Pelodiscus sinensis: one gene and its partners. The protein of the gene in region 3 purifies or fractionates together with the protein of the main gene of each other region. This does not show direct contact. Links are inferred from orthologs where the notes say so. Each region holds a gene or a part of one and is shown on either strand. Other genes may lie near its edges. The genes, in order: MAFG, MAFF, BACH1 and MAFK.

The links.
Region 1: the proteins of BACH1 (region 3) and MAFG purify together in Homo sapiens (affinity purification with mass spectrometry; 5 studies listed by BioGRID and IntAct, counting the BioPlex papers as one, with this or other methods). This does not show direct contact. The link is inferred for Pelodiscus sinensis from reciprocal best matches to the Homo sapiens genes BACH1 and MAFG.
Region 2: the proteins of BACH1 (region 3) and MAFF purify together in Homo sapiens (affinity purification with mass spectrometry; 3 studies listed by BioGRID and IntAct, counting the BioPlex papers as one, with this or other methods). This does not show direct contact. The link is inferred for Pelodiscus sinensis from reciprocal best matches to the Homo sapiens genes BACH1 and MAFF.
Region 4: the proteins of BACH1 (region 3) and MAFK purify together in Homo sapiens (affinity purification with mass spectrometry; 6 studies listed by BioGRID and IntAct, counting the BioPlex papers as one, with this or other methods). This does not show direct contact. The link is inferred for Pelodiscus sinensis from reciprocal best matches to the Homo sapiens genes BACH1 and MAFK.

What each region holds. Positions count from the first base shown.
Region 1 is NC_134730.1:29,834,663-29,842,513, reverse strand, and holds the start of MAFG (transcription factor MafG), read left to right. Parts: upstream 1-4,839; 5' UTR 4,840-5,006; intron 5,007-7,851. UniProt on the Homo sapiens protein: Since they lack a putative transactivation domain, the small Mafs behave as transcriptional repressors when they dimerize among themselves.
Region 2 is NC_134711.1:91,967,567-91,975,023, forward strand, and holds the start of MAFF (transcription factor MafF), read right to left. Parts: upstream 3,018-7,457; 5' UTR 2,832-3,017; coding exon 2,818-2,831; intron 2,609-2,817; coding exon 2,423-2,608; intron 1-2,422. UniProt on the Homo sapiens protein: Since they lack a putative transactivation domain, the small Mafs behave as transcriptional repressors when they dimerize among themselves.
Region 3 is NC_134711.1:181,342,078-181,349,704, reverse strand, and holds the start of BACH1 (transcription regulator protein BACH1), read right to left. Parts: upstream 3,009-7,627; 5' UTR 2,618-3,008; intron 1-2,617. UniProt on the Homo sapiens protein: Transcriptional regulator that acts as a repressor or activator, depending on the context. Binds to NF-E2 DNA binding sites. Plays important roles in coordinating transcription activation and repression by MAFK.
Region 4 is NC_134726.1:27,391,227-27,399,140, reverse strand, and holds the start of MAFK (transcription factor MafK), read right to left. Parts: upstream 3,005-7,914; 5' UTR 2,917-3,004; coding exon 2,820-2,916; intron 2,545-2,819; exon of another isoform or gene 2,523-2,544; intron 2,259-2,522; exon of another isoform or gene 2,141-2,258; intron 1,752-2,140; exon of another isoform or gene 1-1,751. UniProt on the Homo sapiens protein: Since they lack a putative transactivation domain, the small Mafs behave as transcriptional repressors when they dimerize among themselves.

The DNA of each region.
Region 1 (7,851 bases), on a different chromosome or scaffold from region 3:
ATGGGACACCCATTGTTTAAAAAGCCTGCTCCAATAGGCTTTGCAATCACAGGCTGGTAAACCTAATATCAGTACCAGTTGGATTGCTGAAATTTAAAGAAAAACAAAACCTCCAGAATTATCAGACACATAGATGAACATGCTATGATGAGGAAGAGTCAATACAACTTTTCTAAAAGGAAATCAGACCTCACCAATCTATTAGAACTCTAGGAGGGGTTCAACAAATATGTAGACAAGGCAGATCCAGTGGATGAAGTACAGGCAGTCCCCGGGTTACGTACAAGATAGGGACTGTAGGTTTGTTCTTAAGTTGAATCTGTATGTAAGTTGGAACTGGCGTCCAGATTCAGCCGCTGCTGAAACTGACCAGCGGCTGACTACAGGAAGCCCGAGGCAGAGTTGCTCTGCCCCGGGCTTCCTGGAATCAGCCGCTGATCAGTTTCAACAGACTGAATCTGGACGCCAGTTCCGACTTACATACAGATTCAACTTAAGAACCCCAGGAGTCCCCAAGTCAGCTGCTGCTGAAACTGATCAGCGGCTGATTCCAGGAAGCCCAGGGCAGAGCAACTCTGCCTCTGGCTTCCTGTAGTCAGCGCTGGTCAGTTTCAGCAGCGGCTGACTTGGGGACACCTGGGGCAGAGCAGCTGGGGTGCTGCCGGGTTGGTCCAGTAGCGCCCAGAGCAGCACTGCGGGACCAACCGGCAGTGTCCCAGCTGCTCTGCCCCAGGCGTCCTGATTCAGCCGCTGCTGGGGAATCAGGATGCCTGGGGCAGAGCAACTGGGGTGCTGCTGGGTTGGTCCAGTAGTGCCTAGAGCAGCACTGCGGGACCAACCAGCAGCGCCCCAGCTGCTCTACCACAGGCGTCTGGAGAAAAGCCTGGTCTGCTGGGGGTGGGGGGTGCACTAGCTGCGCCCACCCCCCAGCAGACCAGGAAGACGCGGGCAGCGGACCGAGATGCACCGTGGTCCCGCCGTCCGGGTCCTCCGTGGCTTTGCTCCGTGTCTCCCTGGTCTGCTGGAGACCAGCAGACCAGGGAGACGGGGAGTAAAGCCTTGGAGGACGCTGGCAGCGGGACAGCCACCAGCAGACCAGGGAGACGTGGAGCAGCTTTTCTCGCCCTGGAGGACGCGGGCGGCGGGACCGTGGCGCATCTGGGCATCCCGCCACTTCCATCCTCCAGGGCGAGAAAAACATAAGTCGGATCCGCGTAACTCGGGGACTGCATGTATACCTAGACTTTCAGAAAGCCTTTGACATGGTCCCACATCAAAGGCTCTTAAGGAAACTAAGCAGTCATGGGATAAGAGGGAACATGCTTATGGATCAGTAACTGGTTACAAGGTAGAGAACAATGGTCAGTTTTCAGAATGGAGAAACTAGTGGTGTCTCCCAGGATGGGGCCCAATCTTAGTCAACATATTCATAAATTATCTGCAAAAAAAGATAAATAGTGATCTGGCAAAATATGCAGTTAAGACAAAAACTTCTTGAGATAGTTCAGTTCAAAGCTGACTGGGAAGTCTTACAAAGGAGTTTCACTGTACTGGATGATTGGGCAACCAGATAGCAGAGGACATTAATTGTTGATAAGTACGAAGTAATGCACATTGGAAAATATAATCCCAAAGAGAATACGTACAATATGACAGTCTAAATTAACTGGAGCCATTCAAGAAAGAGATCTTGAAGTCATTGTGGATAGTTCTCGGAAAAAACATCTTCTCAGTGTACAACAGTGGTCAAAAGAAAGCCAACACAATATTAGGAAATATTACAAAAGGGAAATATAATAAGATACAAAATATCTTTTGTATACAAGAACAAGGAGCAATGGTCTCAAGTTACAGTGGGGGAGATCTAGGTTCTTCTTCACACAGCGTGTTGTCAACCTGTGGAACTCCTTGCCAGAGGAGGCTGTGAAGGCTAGGACTATAATAGAGTTTAAAGAGAAGCTGGATAAATTCATGGAGGTTAGGTCCATAAAAGGCTATTAGCCAGGGGATAAAATGATGTCCTTGGCCTCTGTTTGTCAGAGGCTGGAGAGGGATGGCAGGAGACAAATCGCTTGATCATTGTCTTCGGTCCACCCTCTCTGGGGCACCTGGTGTTGGCCACTGTCGGTAGACAGGATACTGGGCTAGATGGACCTTTGGTCTGACCCAGTACGGCCGGTCTTATGTTCTTATGTTGTATAGTAGGAAAAACTATTTCCCTGGGAGGAGAGTGAAGCACTGGAATGGGTTCCCTAGGGAGGGGGTAGAATCTCCATCCGTAACTGTTTTAAGTCCCGACTTGACAAAGTCCTGGCTGGGCTGATTTAGTTGGGTTGGTCCTGCTTTGGGCAGGGGGCTGGACTCGATGGCCTCCTGAGGTCTCTTCCAGCCCTAGGATTCTATAATCACATGGTCTCTAAATAAATCCATGGTGCACCATACAGATGTGCATTAGATACAATAGAACTGGCAAAGGTTCAGAAAAGGGCAACACAATTTATTCGGGCTTTGGAATAGCTTCCATATGAGAAGCAATTAATAAGACTGGGACTAATCGGGTGGGAAAAGAGATGACTGGAAGGGACATGATAATGTATAAAATCATGACAGGTGTGGAGAACATAACTAAAGTGCTTATTTGCTCCTTCACAAAACACAAGAAACAAGGATCACACAACAAAAAGTATTTAACGCAAGACAACTTGTGGAACTTGTTGCTGGGAATGTTGCAAATGGCAAAATAATAACAGTCTTTCAAAAGGAATTAGGTAAGTTCACAGATACATTAGAAACCAGGAGAATGTGGGCGAGGTCCATGGGTGGCTATTAACAACGGTAGCCAGGGATACAAGCCTATGTTTCAGGTGTCCCTAACCTCTGCTGCCAAAAGCTGGAAGTGCATGACAGGCAAGGATTACTCTGCTCACCCCCCTCACGCACCTGGCACTGGTCACTGTCCATAGCCCGGCTGCTGGCCCACGCTCGCCTGGTTTCTTCGCTGACCATTCTTATTACCTGTCCACCTTGAACATACACTCTTCAGCCTTAGTTCATCTTTGGGGTTTCTTCCATGTGCCTCTGTCTACATTCTGCTTGCCTGCCATTCTCCTTAGGACAGTATTTCCTGCCAGCTCTATCTTCTTCTCCTTCAGCTCTATCAGACCCAGGCGAAGACAAACACGCAGAACATGCACTTTTCCTTTCACTTTGCACATTGCACAATACACTTGCCACCTTTTTTGCTGCAGCACAGGGGGCTCTTCTACATTCTCTAGGTCTGGCTATCATGTCACTAAGTGTACAATGCAGATCTTTCCTTCTAGCTTGGTGTCTCTCCTGCAACTTCAGTCAAGATTTCTTCTTCCGACTTCTGCACGTGTGCAATGCAGTGTTCTTTGTCAACAAGTGCAGTCCTGTGGCACCTTAGAGCAGGGCCGGCTCGAGCCATTCCTGTGCCCTGGGCAGCAGGCGTACGATGCATGTGCAGCTCCATCCCCGGGCACATGGCACATGCACAGCCCTGCCCCCCGGCACGCTGCGCACCTTACAGCAGCAATTGGGCTCGCGGAGCCTGATGGCAGCTTTAAGGGGCACGGCCTCTGGCCCTGGGTGTGTGGTGCCCCCCATAGGTTAGTGCCCTGGGCAGCTGCCCAGCTAGCTCCCCCCCTTAATCCGGCCCTGCCTTAGAGACTAACAAATGTATCAGACCACAAGCTGGGTGGGACAAAACCCACTTCATCTGGTGAGTTGGAGTGGAAATAGCAGAATCCAGAATACAGTAATTACTTGTTTAACATGTGCCCGCTTAACTCGTTTTCGCAATAGCACGATTTTTTTGGGGACCTTTTTTCAAATAACATGACCGTCCCCGAAATAACACAAAAATAATCAAGTAGCAGACTACTTCACGCAGCAATATAAGTTGGTGAAAACAGTGGTAATATGCAGGGCTCGCCAGCCGTGTGGTTCTGCACTCTGCGCATGCGCAGATCACTCTGCACTGGCTCTTCCGGGTTGTAATCTACTCGCCATGGGTGAGTAGATTACATTATTTGTAGCCCTGGTAATATGCTTGAGCAGATGAATACACGTGATCACAGTGCTTCTCCGCTCACTCGTGTTTATCTTTGTGTTTTAACAAACCAGGCGACTTGTGGTGCTAGATACCTAGTGCTGACGTTGCCGACCCAGCACCAACAAAAAATTGACTTTGCCACCACCACCTGAAATGCAACCCCCACCTTTTCCATTCTTTTTAATGGGAAAATTGACTCCATAGCACATTTTTGCTCAGCATGAACATTTTCAGAAACAGTGTTTAGTGTTTAATGAGGAATTACTGTAAGCAGAACCCACCTGTCAAGCGCAGGACCCAAGCTAATGATGCTAATTGGATCATAGAATCATAGGCCTGGAAGGGACCTCGAGAGGCCACTAACCTGTTCTGAAATATCTCCAGAGAGGGAGATTCCACCAGCTCCCGGTGGGGGGGGGTGTGTGACTGAGTCCCCCGTCACGGTGTAACTGCAGCTAGCAAGGCCGGGCCCCCTGGGCTGTGTGTGCTGCCCCCCCCGCTGCAGCTCTGAGCTGGGGGGCAGCGCAGGCCCCGCCTCCCGGCTCCCACCTAAGCCGGGCCCCGCCCCCGGCCCGGACACGCAGCGACCCCGCCCAGCTGCCTCGAGCCGCGTGCCCCCTTATGCGCCACGTGGGGCGGCCCGGCTCAGCTGCTCCCGCGCACGCTGCCCGCAGCACGTGGCCAGGCGAGCCGAGCCCCGCCCCGCCCCCTTCCCTTTAAGGCCCCGCCTGCCCCTTGTCTTTTTTTTACCCCGACACTAATGGCCGCAGCCTCCTTCCCTTTAAGGCTCGGGGCGGTTGCGCCGGGCGCTTCATGAATGGAGCCACGTGACCCAAACATCACGTGACGTGTCCGTGAGCGGCGGCGGGTGGCGGCGGATCTCGGAGTCTCGGTCCCTCCCAGCCCCGGCCCCGGCCGCACCGTGAGGCGGGTGAGCGCGCGGCGGGGCCCGGGCCATGGGGGGGGCAGGGACCCCCCCCCGCCTTTCCGGGGGCCCCCGCTCTGCCCCGGGCCTTGGGGGGGGCAGGGACCCCCCCGCCTTTCCGGGGGCCCCCGCTCTGCCCCGGGCCTTGGGGGGGGCAGGGACCCCCCCGCCTTTCCGGGGGCCCCCGCTCTGCCCCGGGCCTTGGGGGGGCAGGGACCCCCCCGCCTTTCCGGGGGCCCCCGCTCTGCCCCGGGCCTTGGGGGGGGGCAGAGGCCCCCCCGCCTTTCCGGGGGCCCCCGCTCTGCCCCGGGCCTGGGGGGGGCAGGGACCCCCCCGCCTTTCCGGGGACCCCCGCTCTGCCCCGGGCCTGGGGGGGGCAGGGACCCCCCCGCCTTTCCGGGGGCCCCCGCTCTGCCCCGGGCCTGGGGGGGGCAGGGACCCCCCCGCCTTTCCGGGGACCCCCGCTCTGCCCCGGGCCTGGGGGGGGCAGGGACCCCCCGCCTTTCCGGGGGGCGGGGGAGAGCGCCGGGAGCCCCCTCGGGAACGTGGGGGGGGAAGGAGGAGACCGCGGTGGGGAAGAGAGCGGGGCGCCCCCTTCCGTGGAAAACTGGGGGGGGGGAGAGTAGGGAGCCCCCCTTCCGGGGGGGAGCAAGCGGCGAGCCCCCCCTTCCCGGCTCGCTGGGGCGGACGCGTGATGCCTGCTCGCTGCTGTTGCCCCGCGCGATGCGCAGGCAGGTCGGGGGCCGCTGCGGGTCGCGCCGGGCGGGGGGTTCCGAGCTGCCGGTGCCTGCCCCGCGCCCCCCGCCCCGCGCCCCTTGTGCTTGCTGAGCAGACGCTGCTGACTCATCAGCATGAGGTCACCGGGTAGACGGTGCCAAGGGGGCGCTCGGCGGGAGGGAGGGAGGGACTCGTGGACCAGGGGCCGGCGTGTTGGTCGGTCCGTGTCTGCAAATGGATGGGGAGGGCGTCCGAGGCTGACACGCTGACTCATCGCCGAGGGGGGCGGTGTCATGGAGACAGGTCTCCCCTCGTGTGCGGCGCTGCCGGGAGGGGCTGCGGGCAGCAGGGCGAATGGGGGAGTTACAGACCGTAGGTTTGGGGGGTGAGGGGCGTAGAGACGGGCGGCTGTGCTGGGGGGGCATAGTGCGGATTCTGAGCACACTTCCAGGTCAGAACCAGCCCTGGGGCTGGGCTCCTGCTGTGAGACCAGCAGGCTGCTCTGGGTACCTCTCCCATGCTTGTGTGTACTTGGAACACCCTGTGCTCCTCTCCTGCCTCACTAGTGTTCCAGGTGATTCAGCTGCTAGGGCAGTAGTCTTCCCCTAGTCACCCGCAGGGCCCCAGAGCTACATATGCTCCTCATACCCCTAAATACAACTCTTTCAAGGGCTGGTCTGAGGGGGCTAGCATGCCCTTAATGTAAGCATAACGGGGAAAGCTGTGCTACAGATCTACTCAAAGTGCCCAGAAATCAACTAACCCCACCATTGTGGGACACCAGGGAGCCTTGGGTAATAGCCAAAAACTCTGTGTGCAACAAGTGCACCATCTCTCCCTGAGCAAGATTTCTGCTAAGGCTGAATGCTGAGGCCACAAGGCAGAAGAACAAAACAAGTGGGGTCAGGCCTGACACCTCTGGTAGCTATGCCCAGGGTCAGGGGTGCCTTTGCTTTACTAAAGGCCCTTGACCAGCTCTGTCAAGGGTGCATCTGAGTTTTACAATAACAGCCAATAATTGCTACAGAGTAATTTGAAGGATGTTTTGTGATTCTCCAGGACGTCTTGCCAAAGGCTTTAAAAGCACATGGCAGATACTTGCCTACTTCTAGGTGTATGTGCAGTGCCTATAGGAATTCAGGAATGGCCAGACTGGCTCAGGCCAGTGGTCTGTCTAGTCCAGTCTTTGACAGCAACCAGAACCAGTTGCTTTAGAGGAAAGTGTGAGAAATCCTTCAATGACCAGCTGTGGAATAAGTAGCCCACTGTGGTGTGTTCTCCTGCGCCTGACTGTAAGTGTAGACAAGTCCTAACTCCATTTGCGTGATCTTTAAAAACACATTGCCATAGAAACAGAGTTGACACAATGTCAGCCATTGTGTTAAGTTTCCCAGCCCACACACAACTTTTCTAAAGCTCCTACCTATCAAACCGAACCGTATAGTAGTAGCAAGACATTTATTCATAATGTCAGTTAGTACAAAACGTTAATGAATTAAGCTCCCAGCTACCAGGCAAGCAACCTCGCACTGCAGAAGTGGAAACACCCCCAAAGCCACACAGTAAGTGCAGAGCCAAGAGGAGGATTTGGGTGTTTTGCTTCCCAGTCCTGTGTTCAGAATGCTAGGTCACGCTTTCCAGTATCGGGGTGAACCCTCATGTTTGTTGCTTTGAGTGCAGTAGCCCCTAAAATGCACCAGGCACTTCCAAGCCCTGCAGAAGGCCTGTTTCCTGACCTAAACATGCTCAGAGTTTGAGGGAGCGGGGGAAGGGGAGGGAGAGGGAGGGACAGGAAGGGTCCAGATAAGCATGGTCTGTTATTCTGGTGGATGGTTTTATTACATGTATGGCCTCTGCCCCAAGTTATCCTACGTGTTGGGAATTTACTAGAATGTTAGTCTTTGCAGCATGTGCTCTCCCTCTTATCTGGGTGGTCAGCAAAGGTGCAGGCTCCTGCTGGCTCTCCCAGCTCCCCTGGCTGGGGTAGGTGTGTGTGAAGAGCTGCCTGTAGGATTCCTTTGGCTGTGAAGATGTACGCTGCAGGAGGACTCTGCTAGAGCCAACGAACCTGCGGTGTCCCACAGTCTGCTAGCCAGTAATTCCACTGCAATGGTATGGGGCTCTGAGCTGAGAG
Region 2 (7,457 bases), about 89 Mb from region 3:
GTAACTCCCATTGGGATTATCATTCGGCAGTCCAAGGAAAGGAAAACTGGACCTTTTCCTCTCACTCTGCACCAGGTTTTGAAGGGTGGGGAGTAGCTCTCCCTGAAGAGAGGCATCTGCCTGGAGAAATCTTCAACCAGACTATGTCTACACTTGCATTTGATCAACAAAGCTTTTGTTGTTCACAGCTGATACAATGCCCCTTCTCCCTCCCCCACCCCCCTGCCCACACACACACTAGGGATGTTAAATTTAGATTAATTCACTAATTGAATAGTCGATGGGATTTCCATCAATTATTCAGTAAGTCTATAGGGGCATCTCCGCCTTTGAACCGTAGCAAGAGCCCTGCCGGTGGGTGCCTCAGCCTTTGAAATGTCCAAGAGTCTGGGTGGGGCTCTTGTACATTTCAAAAGGAATCCCCCCTCCCCCCCCAGGGAAGGGGATCAGCAGGGAATCCCCCAGGGCTTCTGCTTTTGAAATGGACAAGAGCCCTGCTGGGGCTCTTGTGCATTTCAAAAGCAGAATCACAGAAGAAGTGGTGCAAGCAGAGACAACTTCAGTCCCCGCTTGCGCTGTTTCCACTGTTCCTCTATCTCCCCTGTCCCCCGCAGACTTGGTGCTGGGGGAAACTGGTTTTTAAGCCAGCCCCCCAGCACTGGCTCCTGTTCCCCCTGCCGCTGTCTCTCTCTGACTGAGGCAACAAGGGGACGGGTGAAGTAACTAGTTATATCACTAGTCAACTATCTGATAAACTTCTGTTTATTGGATAGTTGATTAGTCTCTTACATCCCTACCACACACAACAAAATTTTTGCCATGGCAAGTGCAAATGGGAACACTCTCCTGCCTAAAAGCTGCCTAATGTAGACATATCCTCAGTGTTTGGGCAGAGGGATAATCAGCAGAGGCAGATCCCAGCAATGTTGGGTGCTAAGCAGCATCCCAAGCACTGAAGGAAGATGGAATCAATGTTCCCTCTAATTTTTTCCATCCATGTGCAGATTAAATTTTGGTATATGAACTGAGGCATGTGCAGATGTGCACTACCAATAGAAACACATGCTGCCAACTGTGGGTGCTCTGGTAAATCAGCAGAGCAGCACCTGAATCTCTCCTGGGTGTCCAGCCAATCACTCATTTTACAGGGAACTTTGGTGGAGATACTAGTGTATGACCTAGGGGTGGTAAAAGGATTATCTGAGGGTCAGAAGAGGAACAGATGAGTGTTGCATTAGTGGGAGGACACTGACTGTCTCCACAACTGTTGCTTTCCTTTCTTTTTATGGCTTGCTTTAGCAGGAGTCACAGCCTAGCAACCTTACCTCTGAAAATTTGTGTGGGATCTGATATAATAGTTGTCATGTGATAATGAGTCGCTTAATTCTAAACACTGAACATGAAGAAAGTATTAACCCTAAGCTATTTTCTCTAGTTTCCTATAGAACTTCTGTCTCCAACTTTCCCCTGCCCTTCCTGCCTGGCTTTCGGCTACAGATTTAAAGAAACAGTAAACATATTTTCACAAATATGACCGATACTTAATACTCAGTGGTAGTCATTAAAAATTCAACATTTGCCCACAAATCCTCATATGTTGGTATGTATACCAGTGTCACACCTTCCCCCATGCCCTCAGAATAAGAAATAAGTCTGATATTTCCATGGCATCTGCTGGCAAATATTTATCACTGTATTTAGCACATTTTTCCCTAGAACTAAGTACTTTGTAAATTCATTCCCAAGCTATGCAGTTTACATAGGGATCACTTTGCCTGCCACTAAAATGCAATCACTTCTGGGCTGAAACACAGCAGCTGCTCAACAGTGCACAGAAGTACTACACAAAAATTAAGGACAGAAAGTAAAGAAAAAAGAATATTTATCCAACCAAAACCTCAAAAGGAATTTAGGGGCTCAATTTTGCAACTGTCACATAGCTAATACTACCACTGAAGCTAATGGGAGCTCAAGATGAAGCAGAGAACACAAGATGGAGTCTTTGTAGTTTACCCTGGATGGGATTTGGCTATGATTGCCACCTTTGAGGTACCAAAAATTGGGTATCTGGGATGATCCTGAGCCTATAAAACTAAGCAGCACGCAGTGTGTACTAAGCACCCTTACATATTTCCCAGGACAACTATCTTAAAAAGGGACCATCCTGAAAAATCCGAGGCAGAGGGTAATCCTAGATTTTCTCAGGATTGGTCTAACATCTCTAGGATTATTAAATGTGCTGGAGGAGTCTCAATGGATCAGGGCCTCAGCTGTACCTCTCTTTCACTCACATATATACATGCCCCACGCATCGTTAATTTGCACCATGAGTAACTTCTCTGTTATTGAGAGATTTCCTGCCCGCACAGCTGTCTAAGCTCAGCAATGGGTGTGTGAAAAACAGACATGAATGCACACTCACGGAGACACTCTGTGCTTTTGAACACTTTGATCCTCTGCATTGCTCTTCTCCCCACATGCTTCTCTGAAGATACACCCCTTATGTCCAGAACTTAAGTCCAGACAACCATGTCTTTTGCCAGACACACTCTCGCCCATCTTCATTTCAGCTGACATCAACCCTCCTTCTAGCTGGACACACGCAGTCCTAAAATAAAAGCACCACAGAGCTGTATCATTCAGGCGTTTTATCCTTCTCTGGTTAGGGAGGGCACAAGAAAAACAAAAAGCTCACACTGGTGAAACACACACATACACAGCCAGCGACATAAACACACCACCCCGAGCTCTCTGAAGTCTGTAAACATCTCTCCTAAGGAGGGGTGGGAGACAGCTGAACAGAGACTTCTCACTTACTGTGCTGTGTTCATTGCTTTGAGTCTTTGTTGTTGCTCTTCTCCCTTCTTTATCCCTTTAGAGATCCTTTTCCCTAATGGTTTCGGTTTAGTCTCCTTGTTTGAAGTTGTTGTTTGGAGAGGAGCTGGACTCTGGGCTGAGATCTGCTGAGTTGTAATATGAGTTTCCTGGAATTACTCACTCACAGGATTCTTTTCATTCATAAAAACACAGTCATGCGATGACATCATTGTTTCCCCTCCCTCTTTCTCCATCTTAGGGAAGGGCACAGCACAGGCATTCGAAACAAGAGGAAGCTGCCATCTTGGTGCTGGGCATCAATCTTAAAGGGCCACCATGCATGTTTGTTCTCCTTGTACATAGTAATAACCATTCTGACTGCTGCCCTTTATAATTAGTAATGTTGTGTACTTTTATAGTGAGAGATGATTTTATTGTTTTGCACGGCACTGGGAAATGGAGGGTGTAGGTTGTAGTCCTGAGTTTGTCACCTGGGCAATATTACCTCCCCGGCTTTGTCTCTAATATCCCGGGATCAACAGAGCTACAACTGCACTGCATCCAACAACGGAAGATATCAAAATCTATCATCCAAAATGGAAAGTCCACAACAAAAAAGGCAAAACTTAAGAGCATTACCTCACTCACCTTGTCTCACTTAGGAAAATCATTTAGTATCGCATGTTTCCCCTTGGTGACCTGGGGATATCGACCATTCCCTTGTCACCCAGACTTCTTGTAAGGCTAAATTAACTCTCTCTGCAAAGTGCATTGATTTCCTTGGGTAGAAGGCATTGTAGCAGTGGAGAGTATTATTTTTGTGTTCTTAATAATGCCTTGCATCTGAAGCAGGGCCCTCCTTAGTACGTATGGGGCCCTATGCAGTACTGTTAAACTGGTACTTCTATACCTGATGGCAGCTGGTGGGGGGCAATATTTTAGAGATGTGATTTTATAGTCTTCAGCAACACACTAATTAAATATTTTAAAGCAAATTTTAAACGAAAGTCCTTGTAGACTTAACACAGTAAATTCAGAAACTGATAGTACATACCTCCAGTTGGCAAATGCCTGTTAAATGGCTTCATTACCACTTGAATGGCTCTTTCCCAGGTTCAATATTCTGCTAATAAGTCTGGCAGGCTTTTTTACTTTTAAGTTAACTAGATGGTCTCTGGAGAAAGCAGAGCCACAGAATGGGGATGAGAAGAGGTGGATGGGAGGACATTAAGACCCAGTGGTGCCCCAAATTTTAAGGTGCCCTACACAACTGCATATTCCACATATGTATGGATGAGGACAGCACTGCTCTGAGGACTTCAAAGCACTCATGATTAGGAATGGATTTTACATAGTTTCTTTTAAAATGTTGGATAAGTACTGTATATGTAAAAATGGGGAGAAAGAGGAAGCAGTGGCGGGTTGGTTTTTTTTTGAAGTAAGTATTTTTAAATAGTGGAAGGTTTCACCTGTCCTCTTATGGAATGGTTATATCAATATGTTGTGTGTGGTGAGACGCATCATATAGGAATGACATGTCTAAGATTATCTATAAAAAGGAGTTTTTTTACTGTCTGTAACATACGATGTACCTTTATCATTTAGAGTACCAATCATAGGATACTAAGATTATCTGGTCACACAACTCTCCTGAATGCACCGAGCAGTTGCAATTTTCCAGTATCTGGCCTGCTGCCTTCAAGGTCAGAGAAAAATGAAGGAATCTCCTTGCATTATTTAGGGTCTTGTAATTGGGAGGAGATAAACATTTTAGCACAGCATTTAGTTCTGCATGGAGGAATACAGAAAGAAAGGAACTGTAACGGGGGTGATTCCTGGCTAGTGTCAGCCATCAGAACATCATAGTTTAGTTTTACTCTCCTTTATAAAATTAACCTGCAGTAATGGCATTGATGTTACTGAAGTGTTAGACCAGTACTGCACTGTAATATAGTGGGATTTAAAAAAAAAAAAGTTAGCGCCTCCTATCATCTCTTCGAGAAACTCAGTCATATGAGTTACTTAGTAGGGATGTTAATGGGTACACAGTTAAATGGTTATCTAGTGAGCATCACTCTTAATGGTATCTGGGAGCATCCATCCACTCGTGGCCCAGTCCTGCCAGGCCCCTCGCACAGGACTGCCAGGAGCCACAGCGGTAGCCCCCGTGGGAGGGTTGAGAGCTGCAGCGGCAGCCCCTGTGGCGAGCCGGGAGCAGCTGGGCTGGAGCAGTCCCTGCCTGCAGTGAGGGCTGCTCTAGCCTGACCCCAGTGGGTAGGACACTTCCTCACGGGACCAGCCCCTTTAATTGGTTGAATGGGATTTGACATCCCTGTTACATAGCTAGTGATTTCTGTGCCACAGGGCATAGCATTTGCATTTATGCAGGTGCCAGTCCTTGAGAAAAAAAGAGGGACTAAATTTGCCATCCTTCCAATCATTTTAGGATAGTTCTGTATTTCATGGGCCCAGTTTTGCCCACTCCAAATGTTCAATAATCATGAGACAGGCTCATCAAAAAGCCTTGAGAGTGGCTTTAAAATAATAAGATTATGTAAAATAATAGATTTTGTGTTCTTTTTATTTTCCTTCTGCTTTTTGAGCCTTTAGGACCTAAAGTTTAAGGGACACTGGGAGCACTTTTTGAAGCTTTCTCCATAGTTTTGAAGGCTATAAATTTACTATTTATTTAAGAATGGAGGCTGAAATCATCACACATTCACTTGACTCATGATCTTCAGACATTAAGGAAAGCATTATCTATCATGAGACTTGTGACAAAATCATGAGAGTTGGCAGCATAATAGCATCTTATTTACTTTCGGCCAGAGCATCATGTTGTTACACAATGGCTAGAGCTCTTCATCTCTTGTCATCTCCATATCAAGACTGGATGCCTGTCTGGAAGATATACAGTAGTCCAACACCTCTTCCTAGGCTCAGCACAGGGGTAATTGCGTGAAGTTGTATGGGCTGTGATCTTTTGGGCCCTGACATCCTCCGCCAGGTCCTCACTATTTTAAAGCCTTTTTGGGTGGGTAGGGGCGTTGGGCTCAGGACTTCCACTGTGGTTGACATGCAGTGGAAAGATCCGGTTTGGTTTTCATGTTCTGGGGGTTTTAGGGTGGAAACATTTCCTGACACGTGTTTTACCCCGCAGGGAACCTGTGTGGAGGGGAAGAAGAGCAGATTTGCAAAACTTCCCAGGCAGAGTTAATGGCCCTTTCCCGCCTCGCCCCAAGCAGGAGCCTGGCTGCAGGGCTGGGGCGCTCTGCAGAGCCGTGCAATGGCTCTTGGCCCCTCGCCACAGAGACTGCCTCGCGCAGAATCTACTGAACGGGAGAATCCAGGCTCCGGCTTCGTAGAAATGGGGGAACGTTTTCAGGTCACTGTCTCTTTAATGCGGGCGGGTCTTTTGCCCCTCACAAAGATGGCTGTCATGCTACCGCCGTCCTTTGCCCTTACTTCCGCCCTCGCTCAAACATGGCCGCCGCCGGAACTACACTACTCCGACTGGGCGTTCAAAAGGAAAAATCATCCGGGCCCCCGCACAGGCCCACTCCCTCGCCCACATGGGACGGCACCTGTGATTGGCCAGGGAGCGGCGCGAGGCGGGAGAGTGAAGGAACGCGCGCTGTGGTTGGCGAAGAGTGGGGTCATGTGACGACGCCGTCCTTTGTGGGGACGGCTGGCAGCCGTGAGCGGAAGGTGAGTGACTCAGGAGCTGGAGCGAGTCTGGGAGGAGGGGCACGGGTTTGAGCCGCCCGCTAAGGATTGTGGGGGCTCGAGGTGGGTGGCAGCCCCACGAGCTCTGGCACGTGGGAAGTCTGGGTTCGAGGCCCATTGGCTGAGCCGGCGGGGGCGCGTTCCCCTCAACCCAGCTGGGGAGGGTGCGCAGCGCTGCTAGGCAACGAGCTGGGCTCAGCCTCCCCCCCCCCCCCGTTGCCAGGTGGGCAGCTCCCCACCCCTGCCAATGACACTGCGCCACAGCGCCTGCTTGGGTCCCCTCCCTGCCAGGGGCTCAGGAACAAAGTGCTGCCCTTGCTCTGGCTGGGGCAGAGGCGGGGGCCTGGGGCCCTGCTAGGAGGGAATTTCCAGCCTCAGCAGGAAGGATGGCTCAGCTGCTGTGCAGGGCCTGGACACAAGGTTTCCAATTGCAGCCAGGCCCCTGGAGGTCTGGGGGACAGCGAAACCGCCACGCGCCTTCCTGGAATGACAGAGACTAGAGGGAAGTCAGCTCGTAATAAAGGAACAGAAGAGCTGCAGCTTGGTGCTTGCTTTCCTCTTTGGTGTGTATGTGTGTTTAGTGTTTATCGGGTTCTCTGTTCCTCTTTTTGCGTATGGTTCACTTCCTGTATCTTTTCATTGGATGGGTGGAGATAAAAGACCCGTTGTTTATCTTGTGCATATGCTTCCTGTGTTTCCTTCTTTCCCTTAATAGGTAGCAGGTTTCAAACAAACAAATGGACATATTTCTTCACACAGCGCACGGTCAACCTGTGGAACTCCTTGCCAGAGGTTGTTGTGAAGGCCAGGACTTTTAACAGGGTTCAAAAAAGAGTTAGATAAATTGAAGGAGGTTAGGGCCATCAATGGTTCTAGGCAGGGCTCACCAAGTGGCAGCGAGCTCTGCTCACCAG
Region 3 (7,627 bases):
AACACTCTCGTGTTACATAATGCAAGTTAAGAACAAGCCTTATTCTAGAAAAAATGAGGCTTTGGCCTTGCTCCAGCGATTGGTCATGTAAAACAATATTACAGTTATAGCCACACAGGCAGTGCACTCATTTATGTGGCACTAGTTTTTCTGGAGGTACATCGCATGGCTTTATTGTTTCAGTAAACAGGGCACTATGAATTCTTCCTCGTTGGTAATATCTGGGAGCAGGGTAGTAAATAAGGAAGGTACTGGAGGACTATCAGCACTAACACATTCAATAGAGTGGATGAAAACTAATAGCTGACAAGTTTTGGCTGTGCACTCCCCAGGAAAAGGGGTATGCTAACTCATATTCAGCCAACAAGTTGTCACCATTGAAGTTTTAAATGCAGCACCAATGGGCTCTAGATAAAACCACTGCCACAAAGGGAGTAGCTAACAGTACTGTGAGTGTGTTTACACTGCACTTGACAGCACTGTAACTTGCTAGCTGGCGGGAAGAGAGAGGAGAGAAGAATGTTTTTTACACCCCTGAGCAAGAAAGTTACAGAGCAATAAAGCAACTTTGTAAATAAACCCTGGGCTACCCTCCCCTCTAGGGCCAATCAACTCAAGTTAAAAGCATCACTGCACCTGAGTGAAGGGAATCATGTGTGGTCAATACCTGCAAGTAACTAGGCAGCAAATAAAGAACCAAAAAAAGAGATTCTTTCCATAATCAGGGTGCATTTACACAGTAGGGCTAAAGTCAAATTAAGCTATGTAACTTCAGCTATGTTAACTGCATAGCTTAAGTCAAAACAGCTTAATTCAGCTTTTGGTGCTGTCTACACTGTAGGAAGTCAAAAGAATAAACACTCTTCCTTTGACCTCCCTTACTCCTCATGAAATGACGGTTACCATGAATTGGAGTAAGAAGTCCTCCAGCTTAACAGTATTTCGAAATAGAGGCTTGTAATGTAGATGTGCACTATGTTATTTCAGAATAATGTCAGTCATTCTGAAATAACACTGCTGTGTAGACGTATCCTCACAACAGCTACAGAATTTAACAAAAAATAATCTGAAAAAAGAACTAAGAGGTCTGGCCATACCAAACACTTGGAAAAGTTGGTGCAGGGTGCTCAGATGTGTGTAGGGGATTCATATGTGCATACATTTTCTGAACATATTTAACATGAAAGAAGAATTATGCCTACTTGATCTATTTTTCTCCAGATTATAATTTCACTAATTTTGAAAAAAGAGCACTCGAGACTTGCTCCTATAAATCATGTATGAAAAACTGCATTCACACTACACACAATGGTGATGGTCATATTAGGGTAATAAAATGTGAAAGCAGGATCTCCCCCCCCCCCCCCCCCCCCGGGTGATTCCAACAACAGCAAATGAGAAGGGCAATAACAACACATGCTGACATCAACAGCCATAAACAATTTCAGATGATTTTAGCATAAAAAAAGTTAACAGTGCCTAAAAATTCCCATTATGAAACACTTGAAATTGTTTAGCATCAAACCATTCATAAATTAGGCCCTCAATCTTGCAGATACTCATGCACATGAGTAGTCTCAATTAATTCAGTACAATTACTTACAGATTGACAAACCCACAAAAGCATGAAAATATATGTCCACATTCTCTCAGCACACTTAGTTCAAACTCATATTTATTTTCAGCTATGTCATGTGATTCTGAGTTTAAAGAACAGACAACTACAGTACTTCAGCCTTCAGGGGAGCAGAATTGGTTGCAGAGTATATGTATGACGGAAAGAAACCCATAGTGCTAAGTTGCAACACTCAGGTCAATGACTTGGGCTCTGTGGCTCACCTTGCAGGGCTAAAAACAACACTGTAGATGTTCCTGCTGGGGCCCTGAGGACTGTACCATTCCCTGGATTTTCATAGACATACTCTTTAACTGTGGAGCCATAGTTTTTAGGCATGCTCCCTTGGGTTGTAGCTATGTATAACAATACTGCCATGCTTTCTCTTTTCACCCAGAGATCTACACGGTGTGTCAAACTATTTTGTCTTTTATCCTGTAATGTTTTGGAACTGTATAACTGCTCACAACTGATTAAAAATAATTAGCACTTAGCAAGATGCAGGTCTGTATGAATTTGAAATTACTGCAGTATTATGGTGTTAAAAATGCCAATTCAGGTCCTCTCACTGCTAGTTTAACTATTAAATTGGTGACAACCTCTCCGTAATTGTCATTTTCAATTTGATTTTCCAATGCCCGTCACATGCGAGGCTTCTCACAGTACAGACTAAAAGCACATCTTCCCGGAAAAGTCTAAATTGAAATCGGCTGGACTTCTACAATTGATGAGAGACGCCGTAATGCTCACAATTAGGAGATTCATCCAAACCAAACCATTAAAACCAAATTAGTAAGACTGAGGGGCTCCTTTGTCTGAAAGGAGGAGGGCGATTTTCCGGGGCGGGGGAGGCGTGGGGTGAGCCCTAAGCACACTGGCCGGCGGACACGCAGCAGGGAAACGATGAATAGTGAAGTGCCCGGTTCCGGAGAGCGCCGGACTTCATGGAAAAACCTGCCAACGCAAAGCCACGCGGGCGCGGAGGCGGCAGCTGCTACGTACCTGTCCCAACGCGGGTCCGAGGGCAGCCCTGCTCCTTTCGCCCGGCTCACCAGGAACGGCGCGGGGGCAGCCAGGGCAGAGCCAGCGCTCAGGGCCCGTGGCGCCCGGACAGCTGCCCACCTCGGCCCAGGTGCCGGGGGAAGGGAGCAGACACGGCCCCGCTCGCCGAGCTCCCCTCCAGCGGCGGCGCGGGTCCCACAGCCCCAGGCGGGTTCTGACCCCGAACCGGCCACAGAAGAGCCCCGCGGCGCCAACAGCTGCGCTCCCCGCTTCACCTTCCGCCAGCGGGACAGGCGCGTCCTCCCCAGGCCCAGGCAGGGCTCAGCTGCCCCGAACTGCGGCGACGGGAAGGAATCAGCTGACCCGTAACAACAGTCCTCCTCCCCCTGCCCCGACCCCTCACTTCCTGCCCGCTGATTGGACGCTGCCGGCCCGGTCGACGCTCTGACGCCAACGTTGACTACAGCGCGCGTGCGCGTCAGGCTCAGCGCCGTCGCTTTCTTTCCGCCGCGGAGCTGTTAGCGTGGCCCCCGGGGGGCGCGAGCGTGGCCGTTGGGCTTTGGAACGTTCTGCTCCTCGCTCCGGGGCATGGTGGCGCGCGCTGTGTGAATCCGGGGTTTAGCACCGCACGCTAAAGCCAAGGCCCCATGCAAGGCCTCATGGCCGCCTGTGCACAGCCCCTGCTCACCCGCATGTAGACTCCCAACCATCCGCAGGGGCTTGTTACCTGGCTAGGGTTTCCCAGGCTTGCCCCTTTTCTCACGTGAGGTAGCTGTGTTGGGAAGCCTGTGAAGATGCTCATTGCACAATGTTAGCTGGTCAGTGTTGTGGGCTGGATTCCCGAGCTTTAGAGGAAGCAGAGCGACTCCAGCCCCAAGCACTCGAGCTAAGGAAGGCAACGATGCCATTGCAAGGAAACTTTTGAAATTTGGTTTTCTGCCACAGTGGAACAAATAACTCCAAACCTTGCAGCAGTTTTGAGGAAATAAAAATGTGTTGAAATTACAGAAACATAGGGCTGGACAGGACCATGAGTGCTCATCAACTTCAGCACCCTGTATCAAAACAGGACCGAATAAACTTAGACTGTTCCTGACAGGTGTTTGTCTAACCTGTTCTTAAAACTCTCCAGTGATGAGACTTCCACAACCTCTTTTGGAAGCCTCTTTCGGAGCTTACCACCCTTATGATTTGAATTTTTTTTCTGCTGTCTAGCCTAAATCTCTCTTGCAGATTAAGCCTGCCTTTAGTGAACAGGGAGAACAGTTGATCAATGTCCTCTTTATAATTGCTCTTGCTGTATTTGAAAATTATTATGAGGTCCTTCCTCAGTCTTCTTCTAGAATACATGCCAAGTTCTTTTAATCCTTCCTCGTAGGTTAGGTTTTTCTAAACCTCATTTTTGTTGGACTCCTACGAACTCTCCAATTTGTCTACATTTTTCATTGTGTGGCACCCAGAATTAATCACAGAACTCCAACTGAGGCCTCACCAGTGTCAAGTAGAGTGGGTGTGATGGGGCATTTGCCCCCACACTGGCCCTTTAAGGGTTAAAACCCAGCCTGGGAGAGGGCTGGAGCAGTGGATCTGTGGAGCCAGCAGCTTTTGGCAGGAATTAGCCAATTAGGGCCCATCTCAAGGAAGTATAAATAAATAAAGGCTCCTGGAGGGAAAGGAGAGGTTTGGATTCACTCTTGCTCCAGCTGTAGAGCAGAAGGGACCTAGCTACCAGGGAAGCTAGAGGCTTCCTAACTTAGAGCAGTGCTGGGGAAGCTCTCCTAGGCAAGTACTACCTCTGCAGGGGGGCAGCCAGGGTAGGCAAAGGTAGTAGGTCCACACTCTCTTGCCTATGATGAGTGGTCATTTCAGACTGCAGTCTATCCCTCTGGCAGGGGCTAGATGGAGATTGGCAGTGAGTCTCTGAGGCAAGGGGGGGGACATAGGGAGTTAAGGGTTCCTAGAAAGGGAAGACCACAGAGTGTGGAGGCACTGCAGCAGGAGAGTACCAAGGGGAAAGGGTACCATAGTCTTGGAAGAGTGTGAGTCCTAACAGAGTGGCAGAGCTCATAGGAAGAATGACACCTGCTGAAAGGAAGTGCTCCAGAGCTAAAAACCTAATTCCCAGAGTGTCCAACAGGAGGCACTGTGCTGGTGAATCACACTGTTACAATTGGACAGTAACATTCCTTGGCTTAAATACACAACACTTCCGTTAATACATCCCAGAATGCTTTTTTTCACAACTGCAACATACTGTGGGCTCAATTTGTGTTCCACTATTATTCCTATATTCCGTTCAGCATCTCTACTAGTTATTCTGTATCTTGCAGTTGAGCATTTTTTTTCCATCATGAGTGAAATAATTTGCACTTGTCTTTATTGAATTTAATCTGTTTAGACTGACTTTCCATTTTATCAAGATTACTTTGAATTCCAATCCTATCTTCCAAAGTATGTGCAATCTCTCCTAGTTTGGTGTCATCATCAACTTTTAAAAGTGGGTTTCCTATTAATGTTATCTGAGTCATTCATAATAATACCAAATAGGGATGTAAGCGAGTAGCTGAGTACCTGACTACTCCCTCTCTCCCTCCTCCTTCTCCTCTCCCCCTTCCCCCACTGCTGCTTCTTTATGAGAGGCAGCAAGGGGGAGAATAGGAGCTGGTGCTGGGGGGAAGTCCGCTTAAAAGCTGGTTTCCCTTCAGCACTGTCTCTGTAGTGCTGCTTTCCCCGCCTCTATCAGCCTATCTCTATCTGCTTGCAGCAAGCTGAGACTGTTTCAGGGCAGGCCCTGTCCACAGGGGTCTGGGCTGGCCATGGGCAGAGGCCGTTCCAGCAGCAGCCCCTGCCTGCGGCCAACTCAGGCTGCCACGAAGAGGGGCTGCTAGACTTGGTGCAAGCTGGGACTGAGCATTTCTGGAGCAGGTGTGAGCTGGGAACTATCCCCACTGTGGCTCTGCAGAGTGGCTCCCTTTATCAACTAATCGTGTGATTGTCTTTCAACTAGTGCACCCCTTTTATAATAATTAAATTTACATTGTGTTTCCCTAGTTTGCTTATAAAACGTTATATGGGACTGTGCCACATGTCTTAGTGAAAGCGCTTTCTGCGGGGTGTAACTTATAATGCTGTTATCATTTGGTTGCTTTCAAATTGTTTAATTTTAATTGCTCCTATATCGTCCCAGATATTGAAGTGAGGTGAGTGCTCCCAGGATCTTCTTGTTCCCCTTTTTAATGATTGGTATAAGTTTATCCTTCTGCTGGTCTCTGGAACCTCACCTGTCCTCCAAGAATTCTCCAAGATAATTAATGGTTCAGCTAGTTCCTTAACTACTCTAGGATGAATTTCAGTACCATATTAACTTCAGTACATCTAGCTTACGTACATATTCTTTAACCTGTTCTTTCCTTATTTTGGCTTCCTTTCCCCTCCCCCTTTGTTCATATTAATTGTGTTAAATATCTGATCATCATTAATCTTCTTAGTGAAAACTTCAGCCTTTATGTCCACAGTTATTAGCGCTCCTTCCCTGAAAAGTAAAAGACATATTTTTCTCTCACTCTCTCTTGCTTCTAATATAATTAAAGAACTTATGTTTCTTGGTAGGTGTAATTCATTTTGTTCTGTAAATTTTGTAACTCTATGTGCTTGTGCTATTCTTTTGCACCCCTGCTTAGCAATTTGTCCATGTTCCCGCATTTTGTAGAATTTTTTTTTTATTTTAAAGGGCTCCTAATAGTTATATTGACCTCTTCCTATTCCTATGTTTCTTTAAATTGGGATAATTTGTAGTTGTGTCTTTACTGTTGTCTCCTTGAGAAACTGTCCGGTCTCCTGAACTTGCTTTATCTGTTAGATTTTCTTTCCAACGTACTTTACATAACAGTTCTCTGAATTTGTAAAAGTGTACTAAGTCAATTGCCCTTATTCCTCTGCTCTGACTTCCACCTTTCCTTATACTCAAGAAAACTATTATTTCATGATGATTTTCACCCAGATTGTCTACCACCTTAAAACTTACAGTCAATTCTTCTCTACTCAGCACAAACTCTTAAATGGCTGTCCCCCTGGTTACTGTCTCTACTTTCTAAAACAGAGTGGTCCACAGTACGGTCCAAGAACTTATTGAACAATTTGGTTTCTGGCATGCTGTTCAGACAGATGTCTGGGTCATTAAAGTTCCTCATTACTTCAAGTCTGTTTTCAGATTAAAAGCTTTTACCCTTGTTCACCACCTAAAATGATGGCCATGGTATCTTGCTTCTTGAACCTGAGTGAAAAATTAAAAATGACATTTATTAAATGTACAATGGCACGTATGTAATGAAGCATATAACCTCAGGTCTCCATTGTTAAGAATTAGAACCAAGACTCATTAATTTTGTTATACTTTGAATTAGGGATGTTAAATTGTGGGTAGTCAGCTAATCGAGTAGTCAATGGAATTTCCATTTACTACTCAATTAGTCGATAAGGGGGGAAACTCCGCTATGGCTCTGCCTTTTAGATGTATTAAGAACTGCCAGGCTCTTAACGCATTTAAAAGGCAGATGCTCAGCAGGGGGGACCAGGAGTAAGCCGGGAATCAACTGATTCCTGCTTTGCACCCAGTCTCCCACTATGCCTCTGCCTCCCCTGCCCCATCGAGATGGCTTTTAAGCCAGTTCCCCCCCATCACTGGCTCCTGATCCCCTCCCCTCATCCCCCACACACTTGCTGTGCCTCTCTGACAGAGGCAGCGGTGGAGGAGTGACTAGTCAAGTCACTACTCAATTACCCAATGGCTGTGTCTACACTGGGCCACTTATTCCGAAAAATCAGCCGCTTTTCCGGAATAAGCTGCGAGCTGTCTACACTGGCCCTTGAATTTCCGGAAAAGCAATGATGCTCTACTGTACAAAATCAGCCGCTATTCCGGAAAAACTATTCTGCTCCCACTCGGGCATAAGTCCTTATTCCGGAACACTGTTCCGGAAAAGGGCCAGTGTAGACAGCCCAGTAGTCTTT
Region 4 (7,914 bases), on a different chromosome or scaffold from region 3:
ATTCTCAGCCAGTCTAGTAGGAGTGGGCCAGGAAACTGAACCTGTCTTTTCCACATCAGCACAGAACGTTATTGTTAACCCAGAACAACTCTTTTCTAAGCAAAAAGGTATTTTCTAGGGAGGATAAACGCCACTGAGATGCAAACTGACAGTGGTAGTTACCTGCTTTTCAGCATTTGCAGATCCTCAGTGTTCCACTCAACTGTGGACCCATACCGATTTTTATCCAGAATTTTCAAGGCCCTCTTTATTTTTCAAAGTCAGTCCCAGGGCACAGCTTTGCTAGAACCATTCAGAACTAGACACAATCTTAATTGCTTGTCCTATGGCACAAGCTCAGGAAAACCACCATTAAGATGTGGGTTCAGTGTCCCCCTCCTCCACTAGCTTTTGGCCTTAACAGTATAGAAAACATGCCAGTGTCTGTAGCAAGAACTTCTGGCCATTCGGATTCAAAATGCATGGCATCTTCTGTTAGTTACCGAGACCACAGCTTAACCAGGAGGATCTTTCAGTCTCATGGGTGACCATGTGGAGCAGGTGACTAAGCAACATGTGGGTTTCAACACCTCAGGAGATCATATGAAGATGTGTCCATTTGTCATGGACCACACAATCCAAAGAATTACAAAAAAAATCTAGGAAATTGCAATTCCCTTTAATACTGTAAGTAGTAGAGTTTGCAGCAGTATTTAAATTCTAGCAGTTGTCCTTTTTCAGGTATTTGCTGTGTGCAATCAACATGCATGCATAGATTCCTCTGCATGTCATTTGAATGGTTGGTGACAGGGATTGCAAGGAGAGGCAAAAGAAAATCACTGAGAGATGAACTATGCACGAATGTTAAATTAAGAGAGAGCACCACAGCTCAGATGTTACACCATCAGCACTATCAAAATGCTGAAGGATTTACCTGTAGAGTTGCTTTGCTGAATCATACAGCTTGTTAACACTACAGTGGATGCAGTGCTTCTAGCCCAAACATTAACTCCCTTCAGTTATCAGTCATAAGACATGCAGTGTAGCCATTCTATCATCACAGAGAGCTCTCATGAGGACAAAATAAAACCTCCCCCAACAAGGGGCAACAGCTGTATCAGAGGGAGAAGCTTTCCCACTAGTGTCCACAACTTTTGTCATCCACAAGGGTATTTTTTCCAAACTCAAGTGACAGAAGTTGTAACAACAAAACTACAAGCAGTCCCCAGGTTACATGGATCCGACTTACATCGGATCCCTACTTACAAACGGGGTGAGGCAACCCTGCACTAGCTGCTTCCCCCCAGCAGACCAGGGAGACGCGGAGCGGCTTTTCTCAGCAGACACCTCAGCTTGAGAATAAAGGACTGAGGGAAGTGAGGTGCGGGAGAATAAAACTGAGCTCTGGAGAAATGTTTGGCTAGAGTTTCCCCTACAATATGTACCAGTTCCGACTTACATACAAAGTCAACTTAAGAACAAACCTACAGTCCCTATCTTGTACGTAACCCGGGGATTGCCTGTACAGTATAGAAATAGCCTCAGTCCCAACCACCATCCCTCTCTTCTCTCCTTAATGCCCTGTCCTTCTCTCCACCTACCTAGCCTCCTGTCCCAACGCACTTTTTGCCAGGCACATACTCCTCAATTAAAACACCATTCCAGACTCTGCTATTCATCTTGCCTGAAACAAAATGGTCCCCAAATCCTCCCAATCTTTCCATTTACCTCTCCTCTCTTCCCTGCTCAGATTTCCTACTCCAGCACCCCATAGACATTCCCACCGGGAAAATACTAATCCTATATACTTCTGCGCTCTTCTCCCCATCCACATTCTTTTACTTGACCCTAAAATCCACAGTGCTCCTTGTACCCCCTCCACTGCCACCCAGCTTCACCTCTAGCCTTCTCTTCTGATCACCTACTCCTAAGACAGTGATTTTCAAACTATGGGGCGCAACCCAGTACTGGGTCATGGAACATCAGACACAGGTCTCCTTGCTACAGGGTGATCAATAGGGGTGCTAAGGCACCTACCTGCATGTCTTGACAACACAAACTGTAACGTACCCCAGAAGCCACCAGCAGCAGGTCCAGCTCCTACGTGAGTGGGGGAGGAGAGTGCACAGGGCTCCATGCGCTGCCCCTGCTCTGAGCACTAGCTCCGCACTTCCATTGGCTGGGAACCTGCTGCTGGATGTGTCTGGGGCGCAGCCGGGTCTGTGGTGCCATGAGTGGCAGGAAGCCTGTTTAGCACCGCTGCTGCTGCACCGCTTCAAGTAAGCCCCTCCTGCCCCACCCCCAAAACAAGCTCTCATCCTCAGCCCCACCCCGGGCCCCACACTCTTATGATGGGTCAGGAGTCTCAACAATTTTCATCAACTGGGTCATCAGGGGGGATAAAAGTGTGAAGATCCCTGCCCTCGGGATGTGGGGCAGCCCCCCCCAGCGCTTCTCCCCGTCAGCCCCCCAATTCCTGCCCGGAGCCAGGCGGGCGCCTGCCCCACGCCGCTCCCGCCCCCACTGGCCGCGGCTCCCCCCACCTGCGCCTCGCCCCGCCCGCCGGCGCCGAGCGCGTGGTGGGGCCCCCGGCTGGGGCAGCCACGTGTGTGAGCGGCCCCCTCCCCCGAGCGCGGGACCGGCCGCGGCATCAGCCCGGGTCTGGGACGGGGCGGACACCACGTGTCCCACACGATGGTGACTCAGCAAATTTCCCGGCCCGGGCTGCAAGGTGCCCCCCCGCCCCCACGCGGCAGCCCGGCCCTTCCCGGCCCGGGGGCTCCGCGCGGCCCCTGCCCAGTCGCCCCGGCTGCCGCACCCCGGGGGCGGCTGCGTCTTACCTGGGCCTGTCGGGAGCGCGCGGCGGGGGGAGGTGGCGGTAGCGGCGGGGCCGCGCGCGGCGCGAGGGAATGGTGGCGGGGACGCGCCTCTCAGCATCTCTCTGTGTGTGTGTGTGTGTGTGCGCGCGAGTCGCGGGAACAACAACAAGCTCGGCCCCCCCCCCTTCTCTCCTCCCGCCCGGGCGCCGACCAACCAGGGGCCGGGCCGCTTCCGGGATCGCGCGTCACGCCTCGCGTCACCTGGCCCCGCCCACTCTTCGTGGCGCGTCACCCCGCGCCACGCCCACCCTCTTCATTCATGGAGAGCGGACAGGGGGCGGGGCCAGCCCTGCTCCCGCCGGAGTGTGGGGCTTGCCCGCTGCTCCAGCTGGGCTCCTGACAGCGGAGTCCGGGAGCTGCCATCCCTGTGCCCAGACCCCGCTTCCCTGCCGGGAGCGCCGGGCGGAGGAGCAGCGCAAGTGCAGCGCGCACGCTGGCCGGGCGTGGTTCGCTCTCCCGTGGTTTGGCCCTTCGGCCACGGGAGGGAACGAGTCGGTGCCACAGCCTGAGCGCCAGCTGGTTTTTAGCTCAGGCTTGTGCCCCGAGCTTCAAAGCCCCCAGGATGGGTCGCGCCTGTCCGCGAGAGAGGGCAAAGTGTGTGTTTGTCTGGGGGCCCCTGGCCACAGCAAGGAGGCAGGTGTGGGAACTGTGGGGTGCTGCAGCACCCCCACATTGTGGGTTCCCAGCTACCACTGGCTCTGCTCCTGGGGCCCACCTGCCACCCAGGGCTCTGCCACCCTGTCCAGTTTCCTTGCTTCTGGAAACTTGGCCCTGCTTTAGGCTCCAGTGAGGTGGAGTGGGGGAGCAGTGGCTGGGCGCATCCTGCAGAAGGACCGGGGGATGGGGCTGGCCACCACAGCTGGCACTGTCCATGCCTTGCTGTCCCATCCCAGCTTCAGTGACCCGAGGCTTATGCAGCCACCAGTGGCCTAGGGCACCATTAAATTGCCCAAATTTAATGGTGCCCTATGCAGCTGTGTATTCTGCATATGCCTAAGGACAGCCCTAGTGTTAAGCCTCTGTAGACTATTTAGGAGCACTGTTAATTTCTGAAGTAATGGCTGATGGTCACATGTTGTAAAGTTGCTTTCATAATCTCTTCTTCCGCAATACTAATAAGTGAGTTACTTTCACTATGGATAAGGGGGTTGCCTTTAAATTATTCCCATCTGGGCTTTTCAGTGCCTTTTGTCATCTATAATAGTAATAGAGATGTTGCCGTGTTAGTCTAGTCTAGCTGAAACAAAAAACAGGACTATGTAGCACTTTAAAGACTAACAAGATGGTTTATTAGGTGATGAGCTTTCGTGGGCCAGACCCACTTCCTCAAATCAAATTGTGGAAGAAAATAGACATGACCATATACAGGGCTCGCCAAACGACGACGAGCCCCGCTCACCAGCCGCGTAGTTCGGCACGCTGCGCATGCGCAGACCGTGCTGCGTGGCTGTGTCAGCTTGTAATCTACTCGCCATGGGCTTCAAAGACATTTTAACACCAGACTTGAAAGGGAAACCTCTGAACTGTCATTCATGCTTAAATTTGACACTTAATAAAGACACTAATTATCTTACCCATTACAAAGATAGTTTCCCCAATTATCACCTCTAATATCATTAGCTCACATACATTTACCTCCCCCCCCCCCCATCCGCCCTCTGTTCTGAAATTTGATTTGTCCTTTTTATATGTGTTCACTTTTTTTGATTGTATCCCTTTGGTATATGTGGTCATGCCTATTTTCTTCCACAATTTGATCTGAGGAAGTGGGTCTGGCCCACGAAAGCTCATCACCTAATAAACCATCTTGTTAGTCTTTGAAGTGCTACATAGTCCTGTTTTTTGTTTTGTCTTCTATATGTGTGTCAGGTCCAGAAGGTACAGATTGTCTTTATTTTGGTATCGTGTACAGCACCAAGCACCTAGGCAAATAATAAATAATCTTTCACCTCTTCTAGAATTAAGCAATTTTTCTTCCTTGCTTTTTTTAATATGTTATTTCTGATATCTTGTGATGTAGTCTTTCTCCTTAATTTTGGCAATGGAGTAGAAAATGGCTTTCAGTTTCAATTTTTTCTCAGTCATATTGATTTCAAAGTGCTTCTTCCTTGAGTTTCAGTGTGACTTTTATGTAATACCAAAGTCCACAAGAGGAGAATACTAGTATCTAATTACCATAAAACACTATATTTGGGTTTGGAAGGGTTTTATTTTTTTATCAGTAATTGTTGGTAAACATCAATATAATCAAAATACAGACAAAAATCCATCAGTAATTGAAATGTACAGGTAAGCAAAGCAGGAAAAATGCTGCTTGAGAACTTTGAGTTAAGGATATTTGTTTGAAATGCCATTTTAATAATGTGCATTTTAACTGTTATAAAGCTTTACATCTTTAATGTTTTGAGTTTCAGTGCTCACTATCATTAAATAATTTTGATCCTGCTCAAACTTCCCACAATTAAGAAAATTTAAATTGATAAAATTTGAAAAAAGCATGAAACCCACACTTTTGTGTTCCTGTGAAAATTTAAGCTAACACAAATATTTTTAAATATAGATATCAGTTGAAATTATTTTTAAACTGAATTCTGCCAAGCCTGACTATGTATCAGGTTGGAATCTGATAAGAGAAAATGAGATCTCTACACAGTGCTTAGAAAACTTAAGCCCCATTCTCTTATGAGTAGGACCCTACCAAATTCACAGCCATGCAAAATGTGTAACAGATTGTGAAATCTGGACTTTTGTGTGCTTTTACCCTATACTGTACGGCTACGTCTAGACTGGCATGATTTTCCAGAAATGATTTTAACGGAAAAGTTTTCCGTTGAAAGCATTTTCAGAAAAGAGCATCTAGATAGGCACGGACGCTTTTCCGCAAAAGCACTTTTTGCGGAAAAGCGTCCATGACCAATCTAGACACACTTTTCCGCAAAAAAGCCCCGATCGCCATTTTCGCGATCGGGGCTTTTTTGCGGGAAACAAATCTGGGCTGTCTACACTGGCCCTTTTGCGCAAAAGTTTTGCACAAAAGAATTTTTGCCTGAATGGGAGCAGCATAATATTTCCGCAAAAAGCACTGATTTATTACAGTAGGAAGTCAGTGCTTTTGCGGAAATTCAAGCGGCCAGTGTAGACAGCTGCGAAGTTTTTCTGGAAAAGCGGCTGATTTTCTGGAAAAACTGGCCAGTCTAGACACAGCCTACAGGTTTCACAGGGGAGACCAGTGTTTCTCAAATGGGGGGGCGTGGTCCTGATCCAAAGGTGGGACAGATGGAGGGGAGGGCTTGCAGGGTTATTTTAGAAGGATCAGGGTTTTGCCACCCTTAATTCTGCACTGCCTTCAGAGCTGGGCAGCTGCAGAGTGGTGGTTGTAATATTAGCCATGTACCCAGCTCTGAAGGCAACAACCTGCCAACAGCAGTGCGGAAGTAAGGATGAGAATAGTTCTGACCAGAGAGTGGTAGCTGTTAAGGGCCCAGCTCTGTGGTAGCTCTGCCTTCAGTGCTGGATTCCTGACCAGCAGCCATTGCTCTCCAGCTGCCCATCTCTGAAGGCAGTGTTGCTGCCAGCAGCTGTGCCGAAGTAAGGGTAGTAATAACCTTGCAACCGCCACACAATTCCTTTTTGGGTTCCTTTAATCAGTTTAATGTTTAACCACTTAACCAATTAAACAGGATTTTACATCCCTAGCCCTGAGTCTCCCCTCAATCCCCCACCCTGACTCCCATACCCCAGCCTCTTGCCCTACCCTCCCTACAACTCCAAGGCTCTTCCCTGAGTCCCCCCACACTGCCAGCCCCCTGCCCTGAAGAACCCAAGCAATGCCGGGTAAGTCTTCTACTAGTATATCATAAATGTCAGGTTCTTTTGATTTGCTTCTGCTTTTTGAGCCTTCAGGATTCCTGTGAAGATTTGCTCTATAACCATGAGGGCTAGAAACAGCTTTCATTTTAAAAAACCAAGAGTCGCATGTAGTCAGTGACTTAGGGAGCTAGAGCTTTAAAGCTGCAGCTCAGTAAAATCCTGAGATGTGGCAACACCATCTCACGGAACCTAATATCAACAATATGCTCAACCTACATAACCCCAATAGTAATACATTAATTATTTTTAGGCTATGCAGATGAAATACTGTGGACTGTTAACTAGAACATATGAAAGGCTGAGTGTCTTAAAACCAGCCTTTCACTCTCTCTGCACTTGGCCTTGTAGCTATGCCTTTGAAACGATGTCTGCTAAGCCAGTGATGTTAATCCTTTTCAAACTGTGGGCCAAACATTATTTAAAAAAAGATCAAGGGGCTGCTGTCAATAGTTTAAGCCAGATGCTTTGCCTTGTGCCACTCCTTTCGTGCTACTCAAGCAGTGCAAAGGGGCAGAAGCCACCTGCAAGTTCCCTGTGGGAGAGTCCTCTGGAATAAAGGGAGTCTCTGGCGGGTGCTGAATCAGCATATCCAGCTCTTCCAACTGTGCCCCACAACCTATTTTAGGGGATACATTGAGAGCAGGACAGGGAATTGATTGGACCGCACAATGCTCTGGCTATTCCCACTGTTAGCTAGTTCCTTTGGAACCCATATTTGGATAGTACGAGTTATAGCATTCCTAGACTGCTCTAACCTTTTCTGAGGCAGAAAATCAGGGAGCTGGTTCTCAGCGTCTTCTCTTTCCCACTGCTGGGTATTCAATGACTGTACAAATCACATACCTTTTGAATTAGGCTGGCTAAAGCTTCAGGGCTGCTAAAATAAAGCTACTGCCTAACACAGATGCAGTGCTGTTTGCAGTCAAACCTCACAAATTTACAACCCTTCTTTATAAAACTACAATATGGACCCTGACCCAAGAGCCTGGAGGATGCCTAAAGAGCACATCTGCAGCTCAAGATAAGGACTCAAAGACAATTTGTTAGTCATCTTTGTGCTTCCCCATCATGGGGGTATTGATCATTGGGTGGCTCTCCCAACACAGCATGGCCACTCTAGATTTTGTTGACTTCCAGCAGCCCCTGAGGGCATTCTGACTGGTAGGGAACACTGGCTGACATGGAT